4 linked regions of the Pelodiscus sinensis genome follow. The protein of the gene in region 1 binds, or shares a complex with, the protein of each later gene. Links are inferred from orthologs where the notes say so. Each region holds a gene or a part of one and is shown in the gene's direction. Other genes may lie near its edges. The genes, in order: PRPF4, LSM5, LSM8 and LSM7.

The links.
Region 2: PRPF4 (region 1) and LSM5 share a complex: the UniProt entries of both Homo sapiens proteins name them as parts of the precatalytic spliceosome. The link is inferred for Pelodiscus sinensis from reciprocal best matches to the Homo sapiens genes PRPF4 and LSM5.
Region 3: PRPF4 (region 1) and LSM8 share a complex: the UniProt entries of both Homo sapiens proteins name them as parts of the precatalytic spliceosome. The link is inferred for Pelodiscus sinensis from reciprocal best matches to the Homo sapiens genes PRPF4 and LSM8.
Region 4: PRPF4 (region 1) and LSM7 share a complex: the UniProt entries of both Homo sapiens proteins name them as parts of the precatalytic spliceosome. The link is inferred for Pelodiscus sinensis from reciprocal best matches to the Homo sapiens genes PRPF4 and LSM7.

Annotation. Positions count from the first base shown.
Region 1 is NC_134732.1:1,348,829-1,355,675, forward strand, and holds the start of PRPF4 (U4/U6 small nuclear ribonucleoprotein Prp4), read left to right. Parts: upstream 1-3,834; 5' UTR 3,835-3,879; coding exon 3,880-3,966; intron 3,967-4,163; exon of another isoform or gene 4,164-4,423; coding exon of another isoform or gene 4,424-4,432; intron 4,433-6,706; coding exon 6,707-6,847. Other genes in the region: anaphase-promoting complex subunit CDC26, read right to left, coding at 1,425-1,601, 3,586-3,666. UniProt on the Homo sapiens protein: Plays a role in pre-mRNA splicing as component of the U4/U6-U5 tri-snRNP complex that is involved in spliceosome assembly, and as component of the precatalytic spliceosome (spliceosome B complex).
Region 2 is NC_134712.1:171,653,547-171,661,366, forward strand, and holds the start of LSM5 (U6 snRNA-associated Sm-like protein LSm5), read left to right. Parts: upstream 1-4,803; 5' UTR 4,804-5,014; coding exon 5,015-5,060; intron 5,061-5,124; exon of another isoform or gene 5,125-5,148; intron 5,149-5,227; exon of another isoform or gene 5,228-5,420; intron 5,421-5,426; exon of another isoform or gene 5,427-5,616; intron 5,617-6,108; coding exon 6,109-6,204; intron 6,205-7,135; coding exon 7,136-7,163; intron 7,164-7,820. UniProt on the Homo sapiens protein: Plays a role in pre-mRNA splicing as component of the U4/U6-U5 tri-snRNP complex that is involved in spliceosome assembly, and as component of the precatalytic spliceosome (spliceosome B complex).
Region 3 is NC_134711.1:44,603,702-44,610,613, reverse strand, and holds the start of LSM8 (LSM8 homolog, U6 small nuclear RNA associated), read left to right. Parts: upstream 1-3,891; 5' UTR 3,892-4,006; coding exon 4,007-4,037; intron 4,038-5,984; coding exon 5,985-6,025; intron 6,026-6,562; coding exon 6,563-6,690; intron 6,691-6,912. UniProt on the Homo sapiens protein: Plays a role in pre-mRNA splicing as component of the U4/U6-U5 tri-snRNP complex that is involved in spliceosome assembly, and as component of the precatalytic spliceosome (spliceosome B complex).
Region 4 is NC_134729.1:26,010,750-26,017,649, reverse strand, and holds the start of LSM7 (U6 snRNA-associated Sm-like protein LSm7), read left to right. Parts: upstream 1-3,882; 5' UTR 3,883-3,971; coding exon 3,972-3,977; intron 3,978-4,612; coding exon 4,613-4,703; intron 4,704-6,900. Other genes in the region: SPPL2B (signal peptide peptidase-like 2B), read right to left, coding at 3,724-3,783. UniProt on the Homo sapiens protein: Plays a role in pre-mRNA splicing as component of the U4/U6-U5 tri-snRNP complex that is involved in spliceosome assembly, and as component of the precatalytic spliceosome (spliceosome B complex).

The DNA of each region.
Region 1 (6,847 bases):
AGACTCAGTTTGTGTAACCCAGCTCTCTCCCTTTAGGCCCCAAATAAGTGACGGAATTCCAGCCCTTCAGCTGACCATGACCTCACTCAGGCCTTACTTACCCTAACTTACCCAGTGACTGATGCTGCAGAGACCCTCAATCAAATGCTGAGGGTGCGCTGTTGGCCCAGGTAATCCACGGGGGTGTGAGGAGTAAGGAAAGGCCAGGGAAGAAGTTTCTCCTGCTGACCTCCTACAGTGGGGACATTGTGAAAATATGACTTTAGCACAGCTAGAGCTGATGTACCTTCTCACGTAGCCGGAGTGGTGGATCTTACGTTACATTTCTCCCCAGCATAGACCTGGCCTCAGAGAACTGCTGGCCATGCAGCTAGTTAACCCTAGCGTTGCTCATTTTATCTCAAACTGTGTATTTTGCTGGTCCGCCTCCGCCAGAAACCAATCCACGTAGGGGTATATTGTTTGTGACCTTGAGTTAAGTCACCATGATTGGTGGCCTTCACTCTCTACCGCAAACACCCCGCAGCATTCTTAAAATTCCTATCAGCTACAGGCTAGTCCCTCTGCCATTTAATTATTTACTGCTTCCATTGGCCAAGTCAAACTTCCCGATCAGAAACCCCCCACAGCAAGTCATGCTTCCCAGCCAGGCTATTGCACTGTTTGCAGTACGTGGAGAACGAGATTGGATTGGGAAGGGGTTCTGAGCCTTCCACCTCAGCACGGCAGTACGAAAGCAGCTATGGTGTGATGACTGAAATGAGTTGAAGTCTAGCTCATTTCTTAGTAAATTAGCAATGCATGCACCAGCCATTGCCACTGGCTCCTTGCAGCACACCCGCAGGAGCCAAGCACTTGACAACTTGCAGAGTCTAGGGAAGCTTGCCCTGCCTCTCCCTAGTGTGGGGAGAAACCAAGTCTTTCACATACCAATGCCCAGTCCATTACACTGCACCATTTGGAGCTGGGCTTTCAAGAACACTGAAAGGACTGCTCTAGGGAGGCAGAGCTTTGCCTCTGTGCCAATCCCCATGAGGCAGTGGCCATGGTTGACTCCTGTTTTTGTCCCATGCAGGAGGCCAATCTGCTGTTAAAAATTTTCTGTTTGCCTTTAGGAGCCCCATGTGCATTTTCTGATATGTTGAGTATCTCATTTAAAAAAAATATTTATTTAAAACAAAGTGGCTGGGCAGAGAGATCTCTGGAAATGCAGTAATCAGTCAAGTTAAAACACACCCACTAGTCTTTGAAAGAGGCAAACACTTTCCCTTATTGAAGCCCGAGACTCGTTGGCAAATCCGGGCCAGTCCCAGCCAGCTCTAGAGCTATGCAAACAGCCTTTGAACATCTTTGCCAGAACAGTCTGGAACGCAACCTCAGAGTCCAATGCTCAGCTGCCCACAAAGTAGCAGGCCCCCTAAACTCTAGAATTCAAAGCTTCCGAACTGGGAGGAACGGTTGCTGGGTTTGGGTTGAGGTTTGTAACCGATCCGGTCATTTATCATTTGTTCTCGGCTCTTATGGTCATTGCTCAGACCAATAGCTCCTTCTTCCTCGTTGGCTCCCACTCCATCCACCTCTTCACGCTGCTTCTTACGACTCTGCCAAAAAAAAAAAAAAAAAGCAATCAACTAAAAATAAGGACAATGGAAAACTAGAGCTCTTCCATCAAAGGGATCTTAGCAGTGTCGAGACATCCATTTCAGTTCTGACCACTGACCTCAAAACTGTGAAGGCAGGAAAAATGGTAGATAAGCTGATTTCATTCCAGGAAACCTGCTTACAGACTGAATAAATTCCCTGGGCATTTTGCATAGCCATAAGGAGGGAAATACATTGTTCTGTAAGAGTTAATACACAAGTCACGGCATTCAGACACCTCCCTACCTACATAGACACAAACGGCTACCAATTCACAGAGCTGATGCTACCGTCACACAGGGGCACAACAAGTTAAAGGACTTAGTCAAGCCAAGTCTTATACTCCACTGTGACGGAAATTCAACTGCTCAGGATGTTTAGAGAAACTAACTCAAAATGGGGGGACGGAAGGAAGGTTGGGTGTGTGATAGGTTGCCCCCTGATGTAGTAGGATACTAATAAGCCCCAACCTATTCTGCCAGCCTGGGCACCCTTTAATCCTGTCTTGCTGAGTCAGACTCTTAAACCTCCTCCAGCCTGCGCCCACACACAGGGCCACATCCAGTTGCAGAAAAACACAGACACTGAGCTCAGCAGTGGGAAGACTCAAGGAATTTGCCTCATCACTCAGGTACCCACCTTCCTTGGAATGCAAACCCAAGAGGATCTACCCTCTCTCAATGTGGCATGCAGAGCCTCTTACCAATTTCACAAACTGCGTTTCACAAGAAATAAAATCAAGTTTACTGACTAGAAAGGGTAGATTTTAGAGTGAATGTAAAGGACAGCACACAGAACAAAGATTACTGAGCAAGTAAAATATACAGACTCGATGCACTAAAGACACAGGCTACAAATAGTACTGTCTCACCCTAAATGTTATCTTGGGCAGATTGCAAAGATTCTTGAAAGTCAGTTACAGTAGCCTGCAGCTTAAAACTTCAAGTATTACTACTCAAAGAAAGTCACCCTTCTAGCCTGGGCTCAACTTGTTGCACCTCAGTTCAGTCCTTGTTTCCAGATGTGTCTGGGAGGCAGAGAACTACAATGTCATTCTCCTGCCTCATAGCTTTTGTATATGCCATTACATCTGCCAATGTAAATACTGTGTTTGACCCCAATAGCTGTAGGTCAGGGATGAGCAACTATTTTTTGCTAGGGGCTACTTAAAACATTTTGTAAGTGGCCTCAGGCTACTCCAGAAGGGGCGGGGCTTCCAACTGAAGGGGCAGGGCCAGGATGTTTCTGGGCTTCCCCACCCTCAGACCATGATTGGCCTGGGGGTGGGGGAGCCCGGAGGCACCCATGCCCCTGGCACTGGGAGGAGTCTTCCCGCGGAGGCTCTTTTGCCCACCCCTGCGGTTGGTGCATGTATACAGATGGGCTCTGTCTACACGGGCAGTTTCTTGTGCAAGAACAACTGTTCGTGCGCAAAACCTTGTCTGCTGTCTGCACTGCGCACGTGTTCTTGTGCAGGTAAATTCACAGCACAGCGTCGGAAAACAGCTTCTTCCGGACGAGTTACTCCTGTCCCCTCGAGGGACGAGCCCTCTTGCGCAAGAGGCCGGTGTCCACAGGCAACGGCAGAAGCCCTGTGGCTAAAACGGCCATGGGAGCTCCCTGCGCAAGAGCGCCCAGCTGCCAGGGATGCGCTTGTGCGAAAGCGCCCGCCGGTGCAGAGCGGCCTGGAGCTCGCGCAGCGATCGCCCCGCAGGGACATCACGGCCGCTCCCCCCCGCCCCTCGGGGCCGCCTGCGCGTGCGGGAGAGCGGGGCCTCGCCAAGGGGGCCGGGCCGGGGGGGGGGGCGGGGGGCCGGGGGAGCCGGGGGGGGGGGGCCGGGCGGAGGGAGCCGGGGGGGCGCCGGGGGGGGCCGAGCCGAGCGGGGGGGGGGGGCCGGGCCGGGGGAGCTGGGGGGGCCGAGCCGGGCCGGGGGGGGCGCTCACCTCCAGCTCCTTCCGGGTGCTCTCGAACTCCTCGATGTCGTCCAGCTTCAGCTCCAGGCGCGTGGGCTTCCGGCGCAGCATCGCGGGGGGGCGGAGGGGTCAGCGAGGCGCGACCAGGGCGGAGGGGGGGAGCGCGCCGATCAGCTCCCGCGCCCCGCGCCGGCCCCTCCCGTCAGGCCCCGCGCACCTTCCGGAACGCCGGCCTGCCCCCGGAAGCACAAGCGTCCCGCTCCTCCCCGGGACCCGGAAGCGGAAGTGACGCCTGGCCCGGGGCTCTCGCCCCTCCGGACTGACATGGCTTCCTCGCGGCCTCCCGCCCTGCGCGGCGCCCCGGGGCGGGCGGCGCCTTCTCCCCAGCCGGGCCCGGCTCCCTCCCCGCGGGTAGGGCCCGCTCGGCCTCCTCTGCCGCTTCCGCCGCGCAGCAGCCCCCCCCGCCCCCTCCGCACCGGGCGGCCCTGGCCTTTGTGGCGGCTTCTCTCTTAAGAAAAGGAGCCGCCGCCGCCTGCTCTGCGAGCCCCGCGCTTACCTCGCCCGGCCCGCTTCCTGCCAGGGCTCGCTCCGAATGTCCAGTGCCTGGGGGTTACTTGAGCCTTGAGCGCAAGGGCTACTCGGGACCCTTTCAGGCCTCTGGGTACGCGCTGCTTGGCAGCCCTCCTGGGCACATGCCCGGCACAGTCCATTCAGACCCATCTGTAGGACTAACTTTTTCAAATACCGTCTTGAGTTTTGTTCCACCAAAGGATTGAGAGCCACACGCCAACTGGGGGAAATGTCAAATAATTGGGACCATTGAGGGCACTCTCATTGCAGAAACAAAAAAGCATGTATATGTGCAGTTATGCCAGAGGTATTATGAGATCATTGGAAATGGATTCTTTATTTAGGGAATAGAATGTTATAATGTGGTAACTAGTTGATTTGACTTTTGTGTGTATTTTGGAAAAATTGGGGAGTAAAGTGAGGCAGTCAGGGTGTCAGTGAGGTGGATAATAGAGGGGAAGGAATTTGCTGAATCCTTCATGTTCATAGTTACATTTCCCAGTAGTCTGAGATCTTTGTTTTTGAAGGTCTTAATTATTTGTAAGGAGTGTAATTTTGTTACACATAGTAGCTGGACTCTATTGAAAACATTGTCTGCCTTAATCGTGATCTGCAAATTGGTTTGTGTTCTTTATGCACTACAGGCAGTCCCCGGGTTACGTACAAGATAGGGACTGTAGGTTTGTTCTTAAGTTGAATCTGTATGTAAGTCGGAACTGGCGTCAGCCGCTGCTGAAACTGATCAGTTTAAACCGCGGCTGAATCTGGACGCCAGTTCTGACTTACATACAGATTCATCTTAAGAAACCCAGGCGTCCCCAAGTCAGCTGCTGCTGAAACTGATCAGCGGCTGATTCCAGGAAGCCTGGGGCAGAGCAACTCTGCCTCGGGCTTCCTGTAGTCAGCCTCTGGTCAGTTTCAGCAGCGGCTGACTTGGGGATGCCTGAGGCAGAGCAGCTGGGGTGCTGCTGGGTTGCTCCAGTAGCGCGGCTCCTCAGCGCTACTGGAGCAACCCAGCAGCACCCCAGCTGCTCTGCCCCAGGCATCCTGATTCAGCCGCTGCTGAAACTGACCAGCAGCAGCTGAATCAGGACGCCTGGGGCAGAGCAGCTGGGCTGCTGCCGGGTTGGTCCGGAGCGGCGCTGCGGGACCAACCCGGCAGCCCCCAGCTGCTCTACCCCAGGGGTAGGCAAGAAAAGCCTGGTCTGCTGGGGGGGGGGCACTAGCTGCACCTCCCCCACCCCTCCAGCAGACCAGTAAGACGGGGGTGGCTGGACCACCCAAGTCCTCCACGGCTTTGCTCCATCTCCCTGGCCTGCTGACTTGGGAGACGCGGAGCAAAGCTGCAGAGCACGCGAGCAGCGGGACAGTCCAGGCGCGCCGCGGCTGTCCCACTGCGGGCGTGCTCCGAGGCTTTGCTCCCCATCTCCCTGGTCTGCTGGTCAGGAGACGGGGAGCAAAGCCGCGGAGCACGCCCGCAGGGGGACAGCTCAAGTGTCCCGCTGCGGGTGTGCTCTAAGGCTTTGCTCCCCGTCTCCCTGCAGACCAGGGAGACAGGGAGCAGCTTTTCTCGCCCCAAAGGACGGGGGCGGCGGACCGCGGCGCATCTGGGTGTCCTGTCCTCCGGGGCGAGAAAAGCCCCGTTCGTAACTGCGGATCCGACATAAGTCGGATCCGCGTAACTCGGGGACTGCCTGTAGTCCAATGGATAAAGAATGATTAAAAAGGATGGATTTTTAAAGTTTGTTTTTTCTGCTTGTTTTTTTACATGAGAAATTAAGGATGTATCTAAGTTAGAAGGCTCCCTGATGGAGAACTTGTGAAATTATGCAATTGTACTGTCATAATTATGACATAAGATCAGAGATGCTTGAGCTTTTAAATTGAGAAAGGATTACTTTTTAAAATTTTTCTTCTGTTTACTTTTGATAAAAGCTATTTAGATTTGAAGGCTAACTAATGTTTTGAATAATGAAATTCCTTGGTTCAAAATACCTTATACTACCCAGAAGTCCCCCAGCAAAGCCAGGGAAGGGCAGACTACATTCTCAGGGTTTGTTTCCACATGGACTTATTTAGGAACATCTCTGTGCGCATGCTCAAATTCTGGAGCATTACATGTGGTGTAATGCTTTAACTGAATCCGGAGGAGCAAGGCGTCATTGGTATTCCAGAATAAGAGCATTCACACAGATTTAATCAGCATCCTACCTTAATCTCAATTAACTTTGAAGTGTAGCCCCAAAGGAAGAACCTAGCAGGGGAGCAAAAGGCTAAAGAAAGCCTGAGAGCATATTTGGTAACATCATAAAGAAGCAGAAAAGATCACAAGTCCAATTTTTAAAAACATCCTTGGCTTGCTGCCCTCTAATTCTACTTTAACACATTTTCAGTGAGGAATAGTCTTGCTGTCCAGATGAATCTTGTATATAAAATGTAAGGGCTTCTTGCCTGGCTGACCTTGTTAACTATTTCTCACTGGGGGATGCTGTCTCCTGCAACTGAGGAGATTGCTGAATTGCTGCTTTGTATCTGAATAAATATCAAATGAGTCTTTTGAAATCCTGCCTTCATTCTCCAGGGAACAAAAAACAAACTGTTGGAGGACAGCGATGCTCCACTACCCAAGAGATCCCATATCTTCTATGGCAGTTTGGAGGAGAAGGAGAGGGAGCGTCTTGCCAAAGGAGAGTCAGGACTGCTGGGGAGAGAGAGAGTGAGA
Region 2 (7,820 bases), on another chromosome or scaffold:
CCTCACTAGGATTTGGCGTCTACTTTTTAAAAGATGTCTTTTTATCTGTCACTGCTTCTTTTACCTGGTTGTTAAGCCACGGTGGCACTTTTTTGGTTCTCTTACTGTGTTTTTAAATTTGGGGTATACATTTAAGTTGGGTCTCTATTATGGTGTCTTTGAAAAGTTTCCATACAGCTTGCAGAGATTTTACTTTAGTCATTGTACCTTTTAAATTCTGTTTAACTAACTTCCTCATTTTTGTGTAGTTCCCCTTTCTGAAATTAAATGCCACAGTGTTGGACTGTTAAGGTGTTTTTCCCACCATAGGGATTTTAAATTTTATCATATTATGGTCACTATTTCCAAGTGATCCAGTTATATTTACCTCTTGAACCAGATCCTGCACTCCACTTAGGACTAAATCAATAATAGCCTCTCCCCTTGTGGGAAATTTTATCTCTGCATCCCATCCTGAGGTGATGTGTACCTAGTCATTATGGGGATAGCATTACTACTTATGAAAAACAGGAAAACAAATGGGGCAGACTAGGCGGGCGGGATACCAGGAATTTCCCGGTGGGCCGTCATCTGAATGGACCATAATATCTACCGTGAAGCTTCTAATACCGTGGTCACCAACCTATTGATCACAATTGACTGGTCGATCGCAAGGACTCGACCAGTCGATCGCGAGGTGTTTGGGGGACCCCCTCTGATTTTCCCCCACCCCCAAGAAGTCCCACTACCTACCTCCAGTGACAATGGAGGTAGTGGTGGCTTCCTGCGGGGTGGACAGAAGTCCGGCAGCTACGTGCCACTTCCGGGGGTTCTGGAAGTGCAGTGGCTGCTCCCCTCCCCCAGGTCTGTGGCATACCGGGAAGTGGTGTGGTGGTGGTGGGAGTCCCCAGAGGAGGTGCGCGCAGGGGCTTTCTCTCCTCTCTGGTGGGGGGGAGGGTGGAGTCGTCCGCGGAGGAGGCGTGCAGTGGGGCTTTCCCTCCTCTGCAGGGGGAGGGGGACGGGAGAGGAGTCCCGGGAGGAGACGGGTGTGGGGGAATCCCTGCCCCCACTGGCACCCTGTGCCCTGGTGCAAAACTCTGCCCTCATTCCCCGTTCCCTTCTGGTACCCTGTCCCCCACTGGCACCCTGTCCCCTGTCCCCCACTGGCACTCTGCCCCCACTGGCACCCTGCCCCCACCCCAGCACCTTGCTCCCGGTCCCCACTGGCACTCTGTCCCCTGCCCCAGTACCCACTAGCACCCTTCCCTAGTACCATGTCCCCTGCTCCCACCAGCACAGTTAGGGCCACATTAGTGAGGCTTGGGGGGTTTTTGGAGGAGATTTTTTTTTTTTTTTTTGCATCTCACTTGTGTGGCCCAATTGACTTTTCTGTGAGTCAGTGACCCCTGATTCAAAACAGGTTACTTGCCCTTCTCATCAATAAAGACAATGCAGAAACTTTTTGTGCTTGTCATAGTATTTTATTTAAAAATGAAGCCTGGCCAACAACCTCCAGCCCCGATCTGGCCACAGCATCATAACACTCCTGCACACACACCCCTCCCCCCCAGATCTTAGATCTGAGCCTATCATACACTGGAACCCCCTGCCCTGAGCCCCTGACATACTCCAACTCAAATTCCTGCACCCTCACATCCACAAGCCTGTGGCTTACTTAGTACCACACCCCTTCATCTGACCCCAACACTCCCCAGCCTGGAGCCCCCTCCCTGATCCAGCATCCCCTTCTCCACCTCCTCCTGCATCTAAATTTCCTCCCAGAGCTTGCACCCCTCACCCCTTCCCACACTCAAATCCCTCATGCTCACCCCAGAGCCCACATATCCTGTCTCAAGCCAGTGAGGGTACAGTTAGACTGCAGGGCTGTGTGTACACTGGGCCACTTATTCCGGAAAATCAGCCGCTTTTCCGGAATAAGCTGCGAGCTGTCTACACTGGCCCTTGAATTTCCGGAAAAGCAATGATGCTCTACTGTACAAAATCAGCTGCTATTCCGGAAAAACTATTCTGCTCCTGCTCGGGCATAAGTCCTTATTCCGGAACACTGTTCCGGAAAAGGGCCAGTGTAGACAGCCCAGTAGTCTTTTCCGGAAAAAAGCCCCGATCGCAGAAATGATGATCGGGGCTCTTTTCCGGAAAAGCACGTCTACATTGGCCACAGACGCTTTTCCGGAAAAAGGGCTTTTCCGGAAAAGCAGCCTGCCAATGTAGACGCTCCTTTTCCGGAAAAACTGAAAACGGAATAGTATTCCGTTTTAAGCATTTCCGGAAATTCATGCCAGTGTAGACACAGCCCAGGAGTTTTTTCAGGATTCCAGAGATATCCCGGAAAAACTCTTCCGCGTCCATGGATGCGTTTGTTCTTCCACTTTTTTTAGTGGAAGAGCAAACATGCTCTTTCGGCAAGCCCTGTATGCCTCATTCCATGAGGAATAAAGGGGCTTCCAAAAGAATGGGTTTTTCTGACATTTGGTCCCATCCAGACAGGCCAAATATTGGAAAAACCTCTTCCTACAGAAGAATCGGAAAAAAAACCCCCGGCAGTGTAGAGTGTACAGCCAGTCTCTGACTTACGAACGAGTTACGTATCAAACTCTAGGTTATAACTCAATCTGTTCGTAAGTCGGATTACATTCACTTACATATGGCTGCGCTGTTCATAAGTGCGGATTTCATTCGTAACTCGGGTTCCAGCTGTATAGGAGGTTGGTCGTAGATACGAACGGTTGTAAGTCGATGAGTTTGTAACTTAGGGACTAGCTGTATAAGGGCTGGGGATAGCAGGTAATGGAGAGGAGGAGAATAGAGAGGGCTGGGCTTCAAGGAAGGGGTTGAGTTTTGGGGGAAGGATGGAGTGGTAGATCCTGGCTTGTTTTGACATTTAAAAAGTGGTCTTGGGTGTAAAAAGGTTGGAGGCCACTGTTCTAAGACCAAAAAATCTATAATACCAAAATTCAAAATGTTTCTGAATAAATCTGAGGCGGCTGAGGCTGTGTGTGTATGCGGGTATGGTCGGGCTGCTACACTGGCTCGGCCTTTGTTTCTTTGAGCCAAAGTGAATGACGTCACATTACAGTTGAAATCAACAGAACGGACGTGCAATGTGCAATGTACGATGGTGCATGACAGCAATGCGTAGGCCTGCTTTGTGCAATGGTGGAATCAGAGATGGAGTCGCTTGAGTCTTGACCGGTGAGTAGAGAGTACGCAGTGGTTGGATGAGTTCTGTTATCATCTGTCATTGTGGGTTTGTGGTTTTCCGTAACTGACAATAAATAACAGTGCGAGTATGGTGTAAACGAACAAAGATAGTGTGCGTGGAAAAAGTAAAAAAGTCGGCTGTTCTCAACCCATTTCCTTGGCCTATTTTGATTGCCAGTCCGCCCCTGAATACAGAGTTTGAATTCCGTGATTCATTCTTTTGAAATAACGAGCTTGGTAGTGTGGACACACAGCTTATAAATTTGACCAGGGATGGGAAGTGGGGGGTGGGGATATTTGGGAATAAGGTCCTAGAGTAGACCAGGGCTAAGAAGTGTGCAGGTATCCCACAATACATTCTGATTTCCAGTGGGAAGATGGCATGGAAGACTCTAGGATGGCTTTCTAAAGTGCAGTTTGTCTTCCGTAATGTAAGTTGATACTATCTGGACAGAACGCACTGGTACCAACAGACAAGCGTGAACACACTCTGTTGAAATAGTTTTTTTGATGGCACCATGTTGACCAAACTTTTCTCATAAACTTTCCAGTGTGGAAAAGGCAAAGTTTAAAAATATTTGTGAATCGCAAAAAGAGAAGGACTAAAACAAAAATAACAAAATAAAAAGGAATTAAAAATTAAGTTTCAAACATACAAGAACATAAAAAAGGATTTAAAAGCTCCTTCCACTGCGCTCTTTCTCTGAAACTTTTGTTGTCTTTTTGGTTCTGCTATTGTAAGTGGCCGAGCATCAACAATTCCTGAAAGGTGTGCAGCACCTCACAGTCAATAGGGCTAGTCACGGAATTTAGGACCATCATCACTCTTCAAGTATTGGCACTTTGGATGCCGATGCACAATGGAGTATCTGTCCCATCTTTAGTTCATGAATTCTTTTAAGTTGGGATTGTGTGTATATGCATATTGTTAGTGCTAACCAAATTAAATACCCAATGCTAATGCAGACTTAAGGTTGCCCAGTGGCATCTTATGCCGTAGGAGAATGTGAAGAGCACCTAACTTAAGTTTTGGGAAACCAAGAAATGAAAACCTAAGGTGACACATATGTAAAAACTTTGAAAACTAGGGAAGACAAAGTCACGCTTCCCTATAAAATATGGTCTTCATTACCCTCCCTGAAGTTTACAGTAGCCACTGGAATTGATTAAATAAGATTTGCTTTGAGCCCTTCATTATCCTGCTGGTGCTACCAGATGCAAAAGTAAGGCCACAATGCTTAGGCTTTGCCTATACTACTTCCCTGAGAGGCGGTGGTTAGAATTTTCCCATCAGCCTAGTGAATTGAGAGATGTCGTATACCAATTGACATTCTGAGTGTAGGCCGGCCTACATATTGGAGGTGGTATTGCCACCTGTGAGGGATAAAAACCTGGGATGTCCAGTATCACCCTGAGCCCATCCAACCATACATCAGGTGGCAGGATGTGTGGTGCACCTGTGCAGATTTCCGGAGGCAGCTACCACAAAAAAGGAACTGTCCTGGACAGGGAGTCTCATTGCCAAAAGCCCATTTTCCATTGAATTTGCGTGGAGGCAGTGGGAGGGTAGGATGCTGCCCAACATCTCTGAAAAGCAGGCTCTGGCATCTGCCTTCTACAGCCAGAGCCTAGGAGCTCCAGCTGTGCGCGCGCGCCCGGAGACTGCAGCTACGTCCAAGCGGGCGCACGATTGCTCTGACATCCATTGGTTAGGGCTGCGGGGGGAGGCTCCCAGAGTTATTCAATCCATCAGGCCGAGGCCCCTCTCTCTTCCACCCGCCGATAGCGGCGATTGGTCAGGTCTGGTTTCAATATGGCGGCTAACGCCACGACCAACCCGTCTCAGCTCCTGCCGCTCGGTAACTAGCTTCCCCCCTCCTCGGCCCGCAGCGGCGCGGGGTGCCCTGATATTCCCCGATCGGGGGCGGAGGGAAGGCTGATCTGTTTGTAGGCGGCTTTCGGTGGCGCTGTGGGGGAGGGGCAGTCCGAGGCTCCTCTCCGGATGGGGTGGGGGGAGGAAGGCAGGTCGCGCGGGCCGTTACCGCCGTTGGAAAGCCGAGGGAACGTGGAGGGCGGTGACGTCTGTGCCCAGGGGCGGAAGGGGCCGCGCGCGCGCCAGGGCCAGGTTGTGCCGCAGCCCGCCCCGAGCGATGGAACGTCGGTGCAGAGCGGCGGCGCCGCGGGGATCTGATGGGGCCGGGCCGCGGCGGCTCCGGCGTGTGGGTTTTGCTGCCCCCTCGGCCCCTCCCCGGCGGAAGTAGTGGAAGTGGCCTCACCTTGCGGTGTCGCGCGGGCTCCTTTGGGTCGCTCCGGCGGCGAGCCCGCGCTACACAGCCGTGGCCAGCTCTGCCCTGCGCCTGTGGCGGGGGGTGCCGGGCATCACAGTCTTGTTTTGTGCGGGGCACGCCCCGTGATGTGAGTAGGGTCCTGCCTGGGACTCTGATTGCAGGGTTCCGTTAATGGACAAGTAACAGGCATCTCTTGTCTCACTTTTTTTTTTAGGTGGCTTGGGCCTGGCCTGCCCCTGAAACGAGAGGGGGGAGGGACTCTTAGAAAAATCGGTTGGGGGGGCCACACAAGTGAGAAACTAAATAAATGAAACTCTCATTGACCTGGCCCCGAACTGAGAAGGAGGAGAAAGACACTAGCTTCACTCCCCTCGAGCTCTAGTCCCATGGGGCCGGGAAAGGAGAGAAGAGGGGGTGCTGAGGTTCAGGGCTCATCCCAAGGCTGGCTTAACTCTTCTATGGGTATGGGACTAGAAGATTTTTGTAAGTGTTCTGAGCAGTCGTTTTGAAAGTGTACAGGTTTACCATGTTCTTTAAAGGGAATGTGTTAAAAAGATGATCACTTAATATATGTTTTAAGTTGTATGTAATCTTACATAAAATATTTTCTTATTTGCAGAGCTTGTGGACAAATGTATAGGTTCACGTATTCATATTGTGATGAAGAGTGATAAAGAAATAGTTGGCACACTCCTAGGATTTGATGACTTTGTCAGTATCTTTTTAAAATGTAAATGGCAAATATTCCCACTTTTCTTTTTAAAGTAAGCTTAATTATTTAGCTGTTTGGATATCCGGTAGCTAGAATTAGGGATGTAAGGGAGTAGTCAACTACTTTATAAGCCTTTTCTTGTCTTCCTTCCCCCTCCCATTTTTTCCTTTCTTCCACACCCCACCCCCCTGGTCTCCCCTATTTATTTTGGTCCTAGACATCCAACACTCCGGTCATCTGAAGAAGTGGGCTGTGCCCACGAAAGCTCATGATACCATCTACATGTTTTATTAGTCTATAAAGTGCTACCAGACTATCTGTTGTTTTTTCAGTTTACCTGTACAGACTCTTGGCTACCCCCTGAAGCTTCTATGTTTATTAGAACATAGGTAGCAAGATGGGGAAGGGAGGAGCAGGAGCCGGTGCTGTCTCTATCAGGGGTAGGGGGGGTTACCTGGCCACAGACATGCTGCTTTGCATTAGCGGCCCCTGTGCGTAGAAGGTCCTGACTCGCTGCGGGGACCCTGGTGCACAGGGTTGGGCTGAGTCCCAGCTTGCGCTAGGTGCAGGACCAAACCCTGCTATGGCTTCAATTTAAAGTGCAGTAGAAACCAGGGGGCAGACTGCCCAGCTCCTACTACCTTTTAAATTGAAGAGCTGCAGTGGGGCTTGGTGTCTCACTTGGTGCGAGCCGGGCTGCCTATCAACAAATCGAGTAATCAATAAAAATTCTATTGGCTACTGGATTAATTAAATATTTGCCTCTTAACATCCCTAGCTAGAACAGATGCTTCTACTTTTTGCATGGATAAATATTACACACTAGCTGAAGTTATTTTAAAAATTAAGTTACATTGTTTTTATAAAATGGAAATATAAAATTATTAAATCAAGGATGTTTTAGTTTTTTGTTTTCCTTGACAGTAGACCTCAGACATGGTATTAGAGGATGTTACAGAGTTGTAAGTATTGTTTCTGTTTTTTGTGTGTGTGTGGCTATTTGTGTGCTTTTCTCTTTTTCTTTCCCATTTATAGCAAAAGTAAAGTAGAAAGAAAAGCTGTGGGGGCTTGCTTGTGGCTGATTGGAATGGCTCCTCTCTAGCTGGCTCTGTTGCATTGCGGATGGGGGATTGCTCCAATCAGCTCCGCTTCAGGAGGGCTGCTCGCACTGGCCCTACCTTCCAGTTAACCAATTACCAGGTAAGCATGCTGCTAAGGCCAATGCTTGCTGAGTAACTGGTTAACTCTTTACATCCCTACTTTAAATTTGACCTGCTAAGTCGCGTGAAAGCTATACATTGCCTTTCCTTCATTAGCATTTTACATTTAACTAGTTGACGTAAGTTTTCTTGGGGGCAGGGATTGGCTACTGAGGTCATTTTCACAGACTGACTGTCACATTTTCTTTGTTTTTTAAAATGTTTCCAGTTTGACACCCTTGACTTTTTTTTTTAAAATCTGAAATCCATGTTGAATTTCCCACTAGTTTTAATGTTTGCTTCTTTGCTTTGACCACAGATAAAGAGTTAAAAAGTAGGTATAATCCAGGATAGGAAGGCATTTATCTTACCTTGCAACATTACTCATATTGTCAGTTTTTCATGTTTTGAGTGATGTGG
Region 3 (6,912 bases), on another chromosome or scaffold:
ACATGTGCATGTAGTGCACGCTCTACCTCAGCTGATGCTGGATGATCAGAGCCTCAATTGTAAAGGAATTGGCATTATCAAGATGATCAATCCTCCCACGTTTTGTTGTGGATTTTCCAAAGAAAATTCTGGTGTTTTCTATAGGTCACCCACATCTCCCAGTCATAGCAGAGACTTGGGATTAAATATGACTTTCTCAACTAAAAGTCTTATACATGTTCGGATGCTGTGATTGTAAACACCTGGCGAGGCAATCTGCCAAAGGCAAAGCTGGCTTTGACTCTTGATATTTATGGCTTCAGCTGAATGGCTTGTGTGAAATTTGGAAGAGCAGCTCAGAGAGACCTCTCTCCTTTACTTAAAGATAGAATCTCACAGAAGCCTGAAGGAAAAAGTCCTCGTGGCAGACAGAAAGCCTCGCTTGCAGTGTATCCTCAGCCTTAGGCTACTTATTGCTTCAAGAAAGCGAGAGCAATTCTCGTGTTGTGTGTTAGTTTTATTTAAAAGATTTTTTCTGAGTGTTATTTTAACAGGTAAATTAATCTCTTACGTTCACTGACTTAGCAAAGGAGGTGTGGGAGGGTAATTGCCATTCTGCTCCCCCTATCATACCTCTGTTCACCTGCTCCTCCTCTATCTACCACTGCCTGCTGAAGCCTCCTTCCTGCCTCTGCACCCACAGCCCGACCTTCCTTCTTCTTCAACGGGGGGATAGTGCCCGCCCCAAACTGGAGGGGGTAGGGAAAGATGTGGTACGAGCTCCCCCGCCCCCGTCGGGCTGAGCTGTGCACCAGGTTCGGGCCCCTGTCATGTGGTGGTGGAAGGGTGGCGGGTGGCATGCAAATTTTGCTTTTGCCCCATGGCGCATAACACCCTCGCTATGCCTCTGCCCCGATAACAACAGTGCACACCTGGTTACAGAGCTCTGCAACTTTGTTCTCACCCACAACTACTTCCAGTTCAGAAACAATTTCTATCTCCAAATTAGCGGCACAGCCACAGGCACTCGCATGGCACCACAATATGCCAACATCTTTATGGCTGACCTTGAACGTTTCCTCAGCTCTCGCCCCCTAATATCCCTACTTTACGTACACTACATCGATGACATCTTCATCATATGGACCCACAGAAAAGACATTCTTAAATAATTCCACAAGGATTTCAACAACTTCCACCCTACTATCAACCTCAGCCTGGGCCAGTCCACAAGGGAAATCCACTTCCTGGACACTACAGTACAATTAAATAATGGACAAATTTCCACCACCCTATATCATAAATCCACCGAATGCTACACTTACCTTCATGCTTCCAGCTTCCATCCCAGACACATTTTTCAGTCGATTGTATACAGCCAAGCCCTACGATACAACTGGATTTTCTCCGACCCCACCGACAGAGACAATCACCTACAGGATCTTTACAGAGCATTCCTAAAACTGAAATACTGGGGAAGTGAAAAAACAAATTGACAGAGACAAAAAAAATACCCAGACATGAACTACTTCAAGACAGGCCCAAAAGAGAAAATAACAGAATTCTTCTTGTTACCTACAGTTCACAACTCAGACCCCTCCAACACATTACACACAATTTACAACCCATCTTGGAAAATGATCCCTCACTCTCAGAGGCCTTAGGAGAAAAACCTATTCTTGCTTACAGACAAACCCCTAACCTGAAACGTATTCTTTCTGATAACTATGCCACACAACCACATCATAAGCCTTTAGGAACCCAGCCCTGCGACCAAAAAAGATGCCAACTCTGCCCACATATCTACACTGACGAATTCATAACTGGAGCAAACAACATAAGCCACAAAATCAAAGGGTCATTTGACTGCACATCTAGTAATTTAATCTATGCCATCAAATGCCAGCAGTGCCCCACTGCAATATATATTGGACAAACAGGACGGTCTCTGCAGGAAAGAATCAATGGACACATATCAGATATACGTAAAGGGAACATAGAGAAGCCTGTTAGTGAATATTTCTGTTTGCCTAACCACAGTTTTACAGACCTGCAAGCGGCTGTCTTGTCACAGGCCAGCTCCACAAGCCAGATACATAGGGAAGAACTGGAATCACAGTTCATCCACAAATTCAGTTCACATGCTAATGGACCCAATAGTGATATGGGCTGGCTAGGACACTACCTACTTAGTATCCATTGAAGGTGCTAACAGCTCTCTGAGTGGTATCCTTCCTGTCTTAGCAATCTTATCTATTGACTTTGATTTTTTATCTGCTTAGGTTTAAGTACCCATTCTCCAGATACTTAATGATGCTCTGTCTCACATCCCCCCTTCCTTTTTTCTTTTTCTCCCCCTCCCCTCTCCTATTTATTTCGATTTTTCATATCCCCAACTCATAACTCCCATCATCAGAAGAAGTAGGATGTCCCCACAAAAACTCATGATACCATCTACATGTTTTGTTGGTCTATAAAGTGCTACCAGACCATTTGTTGTTTTTTCCCCCTCCGAATGTGCCACAATTAGGTCACTGAGATCAAGTTAGCATGTAGCCTGACAGGAGGCTGCTACCTGCCTGAGATACACAGATAAGAAAATGAGTAAGGCTACAACACAGAGCTCCCAAGGCCTGCATTTAGTGTCCATACTGAGGCCACCTGATACTGAAGAGGAGAGTTTTATTCTGCCTCCAATAACATTCAGGTACCTCTGTAACACTTCCATCATAGCAAGAATTCTTCCTAAAAGATAGTCAAGGCTAGTGATTCTCACAACAAGCATTTTGGTGGCCTCAGATTGTGGCCATCAACTCTTGCTGGTGGTCATGCTAACATCTTTCATAAAATAAGAAATTAATGTAAACAGGGATTTAAGTAATTTAAAATTTATTACAGGTACTGTCTATGGAAACCTGGGTCCCTGCCAGCTCTTTGAATAGCTCCTTGCTGGCTTTTGCTGCAGCTCAGCCAGCTGTTGCCAGAGCTTAAGCTTAAGTTCACTTCTGAATTTAAGAAAAAACAAATTAATATACACACGTTTGCACATCCAGATCATTGCAATGTATGTATGTAGGGTTATTTCGCAGACGTAATAATAAACAAGTACTGTGATCAGTGATATTTATATTTGTTTAATAATCACTTTTCGCCAGACACCTGATAGCCACCTGGGAGGCTGTGAAAAAGGATAAGGGATATTAACCTACATACAAGTGTCACTTTTCACAGCTTCCCAGCAAACTAGTGTGTCTGCTGAGAAAAGCGGTACTTGAATGTTTAACAACAGCACTTTCCTCAGGACTAATTAAACCCTGGACAGGGGCGAGGGCCTGAGGGGGGCGGTGGGGGCGGCAGTGGGGCCCATGGCGGAACAGATGCTGGGCTGAGGGCGCAGCGGGAGCCCGGGGCAATGGGGTGATGGATGCAGGTTGGGGGGCTGAGCCCCGCCGCCGTCTGGAGCCGGGGATTGGCGCCCGCTGCCATGAGATGGGGGGAGGGGTCAGTGCCCGCGGGCCGGGCCGGGGCCAGAAGCTGGAGTTGGAGGCTGGGTCAGAACTTGCTGCCGCCTGGCCAAGGCGGTGGGGCGGGGCCTGCCCAGCGAGCCCAGAGACAAGCCGGGCGCCGCGCGGCCCAGGAGCTGAACCCGGAGCCCGACGTGCCGGAGCCCAGAGTCGGCACCGGCAGCCAGGGCTGGAGCACACGGCTGGGGGGTGGCCAGGATCCCGCCGCCCAACTACCCGGAGCCTCCATCCCGCCCCCCAGCTCCTTCAGCCTTGCGTCTCGCCTGGCTTCGCGGGGGAGGGGCCAGCGCTTTGCCCAGAGACTGTAACGGCCGCAGGAAACGCCTGGCGGCCACCGCAAAAAACACAGCCCCCCCCCCCCCCAACTGGCGTCATGCGCGCGCGTGCGCAGCGAGGCGAGCCAGCGGCGTCTCTGAACGTTTGGCGCGGGAACCCGCGAAGTCTCGCGGGAAGCGGTTGAGGGCCCGGTGCTAGCGAGAGCGCGGGACGGATCCGTCGCTGCCATGACCTCGGCGCTGGAGAACTACATCAACCGTATCCTTCCGCCGGCGGGGGCGGCTGGGGGGGGATTACAGCGCCCTGCTCCCCCTTTCCCTGAGGGTCTCGGCGGCGACCTGTATGGGAGGCTCCCCGCCCCGTGCCGGCCGGCTCAGCTGGTCCGGGCTGTGCGGGGATGGGGCTGAGCCATTGCTGCTCACGGTGCCTTGAGAGACCTCCCGGGGACGCCTGGCGTGGGGGCAGCGCGGCCTAGTGGGCAGAGCACTGAGCTGGGACTTGGCTCTGCCCAGTTAGGTGCCATGGGGCAAGTCGCTGCCAGTGCCTCAGTTTACCCAGTTGGAAAACGGGGACAATGAGAGTGACCCCGGCGGGGCTCCGAGGCTGAACACGCAGCTTGAAACGAGGGCAGGAGCGTTTAGTTGTCAGGGTGATTGTCTCACAGACCAGCCAGGGATGCGCCCGAATCAGCATCTCGGGGTGTTTTGAAGGGAAGACTGTTCGTTACTTGGAGTAATGTGCCCAGCACAAATGATGGTCAGTACGGGGTGAGCTGGGACCTGCAGATCAGACTCGTTACTCTAATGATCCAATTCTGGTCTTACATCTAGTGAATCTGTAGTCCAGAGTCAGAAACAGAGATGGGGGGGCATAACCAAAACTCTTTAGGGAGTCAGCCTAGACAGGGTGGCTGACACTGGCCAGGTGACAAAGAAAAATGCTTTCCTCAATATTTGGGGGTCTGCTGCTTTCTGTGAGTACAATTAGTGGACATGGGACAGGAAAATATCATGAGGGCAATGTGGGATAAACCTTTAGTTCCTCCTCATCTGACTCCTTACATTTGAACAATCAGTGCCTTGAGTTAAAGGCCACTTTGCTATACAGGCAGTCCCCGGGTTACGTACAAGATAGGGACTGTAGGTTTGTTCTTAAGTTGAATCTGTATGTAAGTCGGAACTGGCGTCCAGATTCAGCCGCTGCTGAAACTGATCAATTTCAACAGCGGCTGAATCTGGACGCCAGTTCTGACTTACATACAGATTCAACTTAAGAACCCCAGGCATCCCCAAGTCACCTGCTGCTGAAACTGATCAGCGGCTGATTCCAGGAAGCCTGGGGCAGGGGCTTCCTGTAGTCAGCCACTGGTCAGTTTCAGCAGCGGCTGACTTGGGGACGCCTGGGGCAGAGCAGCTGGGGTGCTGCTGGGTTGGTCCAGTAGCGCCGCCGCTCCTCGGCGCTACTGGACCAACCCAGCAGCACCCAAGCTGCTCTGCCCCAGGCGTCCTGATTCAGACGCTGCTGAAACTGACCAGCAGTGGCTGAATCAGGACGCCTGGGGCAGAGCAGCTGGGGTGCTGCCGGGTTGGTCCAGTAGCGCCCAGAGCGGCGCTACGGGACCAACCGGCAGCGCCCCAGCTGCTGTACCACAGGCGTCCGGAGCAAAGCCGCGGAGCCCGGGGGCAGCGGGACAGCCCAGACACGCCGTGGCTGTCCTGCTGCCCTTGGGCTCCTTGGCTTTGCTCTGCTTTGCTCCCCGTCTCCCTGGTCTGCAGACCAGGGGGACGGGGAGCAAAGCGGCGGAACACGTGGGCAGCGGACAGCCTCCGCCGCTTTGCTTCCTCTTCCTGGTCTGCTGGAGACCAGGGAGACAGGCCCCGTTCGTAACTGCGGATCCGACATAAGTCGGATCCGCGTAACTAGGGGACTGCCTGTATAGTTCTCCAGCCTTTAGGGAAAAAGGAAAACAGTGTGATGCTGGTTTGACCAAACAAAAAAAATTACCTAGATGACTGCTAATTTCAGAGGTTGATTTCATCACTCAGTTAACAGATTTCTTTAACAATTTTTTGAGTAAGAAATTCTTAAGGAACAGAGTCTAATTTCTTGCCTCATAATTTATATTACAGATTTTGTTGAACTTAACATATTGTTTCAAGCTGTGAATATATATATTTTGAAAGATTTCCTTGACTATACTGTTAGGCACTGTAGCAGTTATTACTTCTGATGGAAGAATGATTGTGGTGAGTATAAATTAGTACTATGCAAATAGTGTTGCTTGGAGTATGTGAGTTTTTAGAAAACAGAACATTCAACTTCTAATGGCAGATGCTACAAACAAATAAAGCTTGGAAACAGCTCATCTTGAACATTTCTCATCTTTCATACAGAACCTAAGTAATTTTTTTTATAAAAAGAGACATCACTTTTAAAAGTCTGTCAGTTTAAAACAAACAAGGAAAACTACAGCAGAAATGGTGAAACTGGCTATTTGTAAGGGGCTCTCTACTGCACAAAGTATGCTTGAAAAAAGTGACTCATATTCAAGTTACACTAATCTTAACTCCTTGCTACTTGTAATACATGATAGTAAATAATTGTCTTAAACTGACTCTGTTTTCAAGTTCCAGTCTCTAACAGAGTATGTGTTTATTCAGCTTTAAAACTCAGAATAAAATCTGTTAACTCTTCTATAATATACTGCTACCTGGGATATGCTTGTGACCTAAAATGAGAAACTTAAAGATAATTGGAATTCAAAATTTTTGTGCACTTTTTAGGGAACCCTCAAAGGTTTTGATCAGACCATCAACTTGATTTTGGATGAAAGCCATGAACGGGTGTTCAGTTCTTCACAAGGAGTTGAACAAGTAGTATTGGGACTGTATATTGTTAGAGGAGATAATGTGTAAGTACAGCTGCTGCTTTTTTCTAAACCAGTCAAATCACAATTAGTTAATGTTATAAATTAAAGCTGTAGTGATGCAAGATGTCAGGTTGATAGCCCTAGAAACCCTAAATTATTTTTACTCACATGTTCAGAACATACGGTAACAGCAAACCTGCCTTGGCCTTTGATGTAGTAGGCAAACATCTCTAGAATGACTAAAATAGTTGTCTCCAGTTTTTG
Region 4 (6,900 bases), on another chromosome or scaffold:
CACGTGGATTCTGTTTAGGGATGTAAGCATAAGCGTATTGTATAGTCAAGTAGTGACTTGATTAGTTACTCCCCCACACCGCTGCCTCTATCAGAGGCAGCAAGGATGGGGAGCAGGAGCCGGGGGGAAGTCGGCTTAATAGCTGGTTTTCCCCAGCACCATCTCTGCAGGGAGCAGGGGAGGCAGAGGCACAGCGTGGGACCAGGGACAAGTCTGGTGGGTCTTAATACATTTAAAAGACAGAGCCAACAACAGGGTTAGTTCTGCAGTTTCCCCCCTTATCGACTAGTAGATTCAATGCAATTTAACATCCCTAGTTCTGTTATTTTTAAATGTTCTCTCTAGAATGCTTTTCACCTTAGGACTAAAGTAGGCTTGCACGGGTAGCGTGGTGGAGGGTAACATTTGTTGCAATTACACTTGTCCTTGAGCACACCTGTCTGTCCTAGAAAATACACAGGGAAGACAAGAAACTAAGCAGCCTGGAAATATTCCAGTCACAAAGGAGAGAGAAACAAGGATCTCTACCGAGAAAGGCAACAGCTGGGGAGCTGGATGCTTGAGAATGGGTACTTGCTGGACCACTGAGGGGAAATACAGGCCAGAAGCCAGTCAATAGGATTGCACTGGGGGCGAAAGCAGTTCCTAAATCCTTCCCCCTCCGGGCTCAGGTTTTAAAGTAAAATCACCCCACAGCCGTATTTCTGAGCAACATGCGGGTGAGGTGAGGCAAAAGAAAAAGATGGGTGGTGGTGGTTGGGGACTCCCTCCTAAGAGGGACTGAGTCATCCATCTGCCATCCTCTCTCACAGAACTGGAAGGGATCTTGAGAGGTCATTGAGTCCAATCCCCTACCCTCATGGCAGGACCAAGTACCATCCCTGACAGATTTGTCCCAGATCCCTAAATGTCCCCCTCAAGGATTAAACTCACAACCACGGGTTTAGCAGGCCAAGGCTCAAAACACTCAGCTATTCCTCCCCCCACTATAGAAAGGATGTGGACGCACTGGAGAAGGTCTAGCAGAGAGTGACCAAAATGATTAGGGGGCTAGAGTGCACGACCTATGAGGAGAGACTGAGGGATTTGGGTTTGTTTGGGCTGCAGAAGAGAAGAGTGAGAGGAGATTTGATAGCAGACTTCAACTTCCTGAATGGAGGTTCCAAAGCGGATGGAGAGATGCTGTTCTCAGTAGTGACAGATGGCAGAACAAGGAGCAATGGTCTCAAGTTACAGTGGGAGAGGTCTAGGTTGGATATTAGGGAAGACTATTTCACTAGGAGGGCTGTGAAGCACTGGAATGGGTTATCTAGGGAGGTGGTGGAATCTCTATCCCTAGAGGTTTTTAAGTCTCAACTTGACAAATCCCTGGCTGGGTTGATTTAGTCCTGCTTTGGGCAGGGGGTTGGACTCGATGACCTCTGAGGTCTCTTCCAGCTCTATGATTCTATAAGCGGGAAGCCTGCCTCAGGCTCCCCGCAGCACCTGCAGGCTCTATTTTGCCCAGACTTGTCTGAGTACAAGACAAGAGACAACAAATGGTTACAGACAGGTGGTAGGTGAATACAAGAAAACAGAGAAAATAAAATAAGAACATAAGACCAGCCATACTGGGTCAGACCAAAGATCCATCTAGCCTGGTATCCTGTCTGCAGACAGTGGCCAATGCCAGATGCTCCAGGAGTAAACACAACAGGTGATCATCACACGATCCCTCTCCTGTCATCCATTTCCAGATAGAGGCTAGGGACACCTTTCCTACTCATCTTGGCTCATAGCCATTGATGGACCTAACCTCCATGAACTTACTGAGCTCTTGTTTGAACCCCATTAAAGTCCTAATCTTCACAAAATCCTCTGGCAAGGAGTTCCACAGGTTGATTGTGCACTGAGTAAAGAAAAACTTCCTTTTGTTGTTTTAAACCTGCTACCTATTAATTTCATTTGGTGACCCCTAGTTCTTCTATAATAGGAACAATTAAATAACTTTTCCTTATTTACTTTTTCCACACCAGGCATGATTTCATAGACCTCTATAATAACCCCCTTTAGTCTCCTCTTTCCTAAGCTGAAAAGTCCAAGTCTCTTTAATCTCTCTTCATATGGGACCCATTCCAAACCCCTAATCTTTTTTTCCCCCTTTTCTGAACCTCTTCCAATGCCAGGATATCTTTTTTGAGATGAGGTGACCACATCCATATGCAGTATTCAAGATGTGGGCATACCGTGGATTTATATAAGGGCAATAACATATTCTCTGTCTTATTCTCTATCCCTTTTTTAATGATTCCTAACATCCTGTTTGCTTTTTTGACTGCTACTGCACATTGCGTGGATGTTTCTAGAGAACTATCTACAATGACTCCAAGATCTTTCTCTTGAGTAGCTGTAGCTAAATTAGTCCCCAACATATTATACGTATATTTGGGATTATTTTTTCCAATGTGCATTACTTTACATTCATCAACATTAAATTTCATGTGCCATTTTGTTGCCCAGACACTTAGTTTGGTGAGATCTTTTTGAAGCTCTTCACAGTCTGCTTTGGTCTTAATTAACTTGCAGATGATACTAAATTGCTCAAGATTTCCCACCTCACTGTTAATCCTTTTCTCCAGATCATGTATAAATAAGTTGAATAGGATTGGTCCCAGGACACACCCCTAGGGGACACCACTAGTTACCTAAGCAGTGGTCTCAACACATCAGCAACATAACCATTGGCAAGTTTATTTTTTGTAGGCACCACAGCAAAGGAGTATTTTTAAGGGGGTTTTGTAGGAGAATAATAAGTTTGTTGTGCAGATTTTTTGGGGAAAGTCCTTCCGAACATGAGGGGTAACATGAGAGAAAGCAAGCTGGTGCCTGTTAGAAAATTTAACAAAGACTGAGAATTTCAGGACACATGATAACATCAAGAAAAAATGTCCACTTGGCGCTTATGCACGATTAAGTATTCTGATCCACACCCCCTTTTCTGCAGAGTATACTGGTAAAGACTCCTATGAATGGGAAGAGAAAGCTGTTTTCAGGAACTATGAGGAAGTCACAGTTTTGTCAATGCTAAATGGTATGTCCTATACTACAAATCGAAACGGACATATCAAGTCAGCTTACAGTGATGGTGCACGTCCATACCACCCTCCTTGAGCCAGTGGCATATGCCCTAATCAGGAGTGCTTCCACCAGCCTAGGAGGGGCAGTGTGGGGAGCTGGGAGCCCAGTCTCTCAGCCCCACTGACAGCTCCCTGCCAAGGCTGTTGGGCTCCCAGCAGTGGCTCTGCCTCCCAGCTGAGAGAAGGGCCCAAAGCGGCCCCAGCTTCCGATCCGGGCTCCCAGCCACGAGCCCCCCAGGGAAGCCGGGGCCTTTCTTGTCCGTTTGCAACGAAAGCAGCAAGACCGCCCCAAACCCTGCGTCTGGGCCAACACCAGCCCCACGCCGGCGGGCGGAGGAGTCTTCACTTCGGCCTAGCGGGGCATGTGCGGACTGGGGGAGCACTAGGGCGCGGGCGCAGCGGTGGAGTCCAGCCCCGGGAAATGCCAGCGCAGGCGGCCGGCTGCCGGGCACGTCGCTTCCCTCGGGCTGCAGCGACTAGCGGGGCCGCGCTCTCCCCAGCACGGCCCGGGCCCGCACCTCCAAGGCCGCGCTCGCTCGCCGAGCGGGGCCCGGGGCCGGGCACGTCGGAGCGGGCGGGGCGGGGCCCAGGCCCGCGGGGGACTCACCTGGCTGACCAGCAGCAACAGCAGCCCGGGCCGGACCCGGCTCGCCAGCGCCGCCACCATCCCGCCGCCGCCCCTATTGTCCCGGAGCAGGGCCCGTTACCCAGCAACCCGGCCCCTCCGCCCGGAAGTCCCGCCTCTGCGAGGGGGCGCAGCGGCCAATCAGAGGGCAGGGCCGTGACCCCCCCCCCCCTCCTCCGGAAGTGGCGGGGTGAAAGCGCAAAAGGGCGGGGGAGCTTGGCACGCGCAAGATGGCGGTGAGTTTCGGGCCTGGCGGTCAGCGCCGGGGCCCTGGCGCGAGCCTTTGGCTCAGGACCGGAAGCGGGGAGGGGGAGCGGGAACGGGCCCCCCCCCCCGGACCGAGCGTGCGGGGGGGGCTCCGCTTGGAGACGGGTTTTACTGGGCCAGGCCCCCCCCGGCTGTTGTGCGGTTCGCGGGGGGGCTTCTCTCGCACCCCGGGTTGGGGGGGGGGGGCTTTTGGCGTCCTGCCTTGACTCCCGAGCGTTCCTGTGCGCCCCCCCCCCCCGTGCCTCTGCCAGGCCTGGGTGCTCCCTCGCCCCCTCTGTTCCCCTGGGGGCCGCCTGCACCCCCTCCCCGCCCCGCCCCTCCAGCCACCTTTGATTTGACGGGCCTGGCTAATGAAGCTGCATCCTGCGAGGCCTTTGGGCCATCTAGATCCAAACAAAGGTCGTTTATGGGGATGCTCAGCTTCTCTGGCTAATCCGTCATTTGAAGGCACCTCTAGGCGATGCTGACTCCCACGCTTGTAATTAAGCAGGGCATTCTGGCACTGTCTGTCTAACGCTTAATCATGTATTATTAATTATTAAACATGGAACCAAGAGAGGATTCCAATTTACTTTTTAGTTATGTCACTCTGCCTTTTCTTTAGGATAAAGAGAAGAAAAAGAAAGAGAGCATCTTGGATCTCTCAAAGTATATTGACAAAACGATTCGAGTAAAATTCCAAGGTGGTAGGGAAGGTAGGTTTTAAATTAAATGATGCGGGTTTGCAAATCATAATTCATTGGCAACATAATGAATCCCACAGCTGTAATCCTAACTGCTTTTTGTCTCCTAAATTCCTCCCATGTACTCCAGTAACACCAATGCATCCTGTGATCTCCCTGCTGGTCACTCTTATTACTTCCCTCCCCCCTCCTCCCCTATTCTTCTACTTAACCCCTGACTCTCTTCTGGTTCTCTTGCCTCACCAAGCAAATATCAGTTTCTTCCATCTTAAAAATATCACTCTTGTCTCCACTTGCTTCTCCAGTGACTGCTCTGTTTCTCTTCTGTCCCTCTCTAAGCTCATTGAATGCCTGTCTGCAATTGCTGCCTGAAGTTCCTCTCCAGTTCAATCCAAGACTCTCCAGTCAGGCTTCCACCCCTTCCACTCAGTCCAAATTGCTCTCTCCAAAATCTCTAATGGATTTTTCCTAGCCAAAGCTCACATCTGGTACTCTGTCCTCTTGCTCCTTAACTTTACCCACTACCTTGGGCACAGTTGACCATGTTTGTTTGGGTTTTTTTTAAGTCCTTGTGCTCTTCTGGTTCTCCTTCCACCTCTCTAATTGCTCCTTCGTGTCCATTGGGTGATCTTCATTCCTACCCCCCAGTAGGGGAGGGAGGATTTCTAAAGGGCTGTCTTTTTGGTCCCTTTCTTGTCTCCCAAAACAGTTTATCTCTGAATTGTCTCATTTGCAAACACAAATTCAGCTACTTTCTCTATGATGACTCTGAGATCTACCTCTCTACTTTCAGAGTGGTAGCCATGTTAGTCTGGATCTGCAAAAGCGACAAGGAGTCCTGTAGCACCTTATAGACTAACAGATGTATTGGGGCAAAGCTTTTGTGGGCAAAGACCCACTTCATCAGATGCATGTAGTGGAAATATCCAGAGGCAGGTATAAATATGCAGGCCAGAATCAGGCTAGAGATAATGAGGATAATCTCTGATCCAGAGATGTCATTATTCCCCTTTATTCGGCTTTGGTGAGGCCACATCTGGAGTACTGTGTCCAGTTCTGGGCCCCCCACTACAAAAAGGATGCGGACGCATTGGAGAGGGTCCAGCGGAGGGCAACCAAAATGATTAGGGGTCTGGAGCATATGACCTACGAGGAGAGGCTGAGGGACTTGGGTCTGTTTAGTCTGCAGAAGCGAAGAGTGAGGGGGGACTTGATAGCAGCCTTCAACTTCCTGAAGGGAGGTTCCAAAGAGGATGGAGAGAGGCTGTTCTCAGTAGTGACAGATGGCAAAACAAGGTGCAATGGTCTCAAGTTGTGGTGGGAGAGGTCCAGATTGGATATTAGGAAAAACTATTTTACTAGGAGGGTAGTGAAGCATTGGAATGGGTTACCTAGGGAAGTAGTGGAGTCTCCATCCCTAGAGGTGTTTAAGTCTCGGCTTGACAAAGCCCTGGCCGGGTTGATTTAGATGGGATTGGTCCTGCCTAGAGCGGAGGGCTGGACTTGACGACCTTCTGAGGTCTCTTCCAGTTCTATGATTCTATGATAAGGGGATGGTTGGATGAAATAACATGATCTTGGTAACTAATTGACCATTCATTATAGGGAACTTTCTGGGTGTCTGGCTGGTGAGTCTTACCCACATGCTCAGGGTTTAGCTGATTGCCATATTTGGGGTCAGGAAGGAATTTTCCTCCAGGGTAGATTGGCAGAGGCCCTGGAGGTTTTTCGCCTTCCTCTGTAGCATTGGGCACAGATCACAGCTGAAGGACTCTCTGCATGTTGGGGCCTTCAAAGTATTTGAAGGCTTCAATATCTGAGACATAGGTGAGAGGATTATTCTAAGAGGGGTGGGCGAGATTCTGTGGCCTGCACTGTGCAGGGGGTCAGACTAGATGATCATAATGGTCCCTTCTGACCTTAAAGTCTATGAGTCTATGAGATTAATTCAATCTAGCTATATACATCGGCCATACTGGACAGTCCCTACATAAAAGAATAAATGGACACAAATCAGATATTAGGAATGGCAGTATACAAAAACCTGTAGGAGAACACTTCAGTCTCCCTGGACACACAATAGTAGATCTAAAGGTAGCCATCCTGCAGCAAAAAACCTTCAAGATCAGCCTTCAAAGAGAAACTGCTGAGCTACAGTTCATCTGCAAGTTTGACACCATCAGCTCAGGATTAAATAAAGACTGTGAAT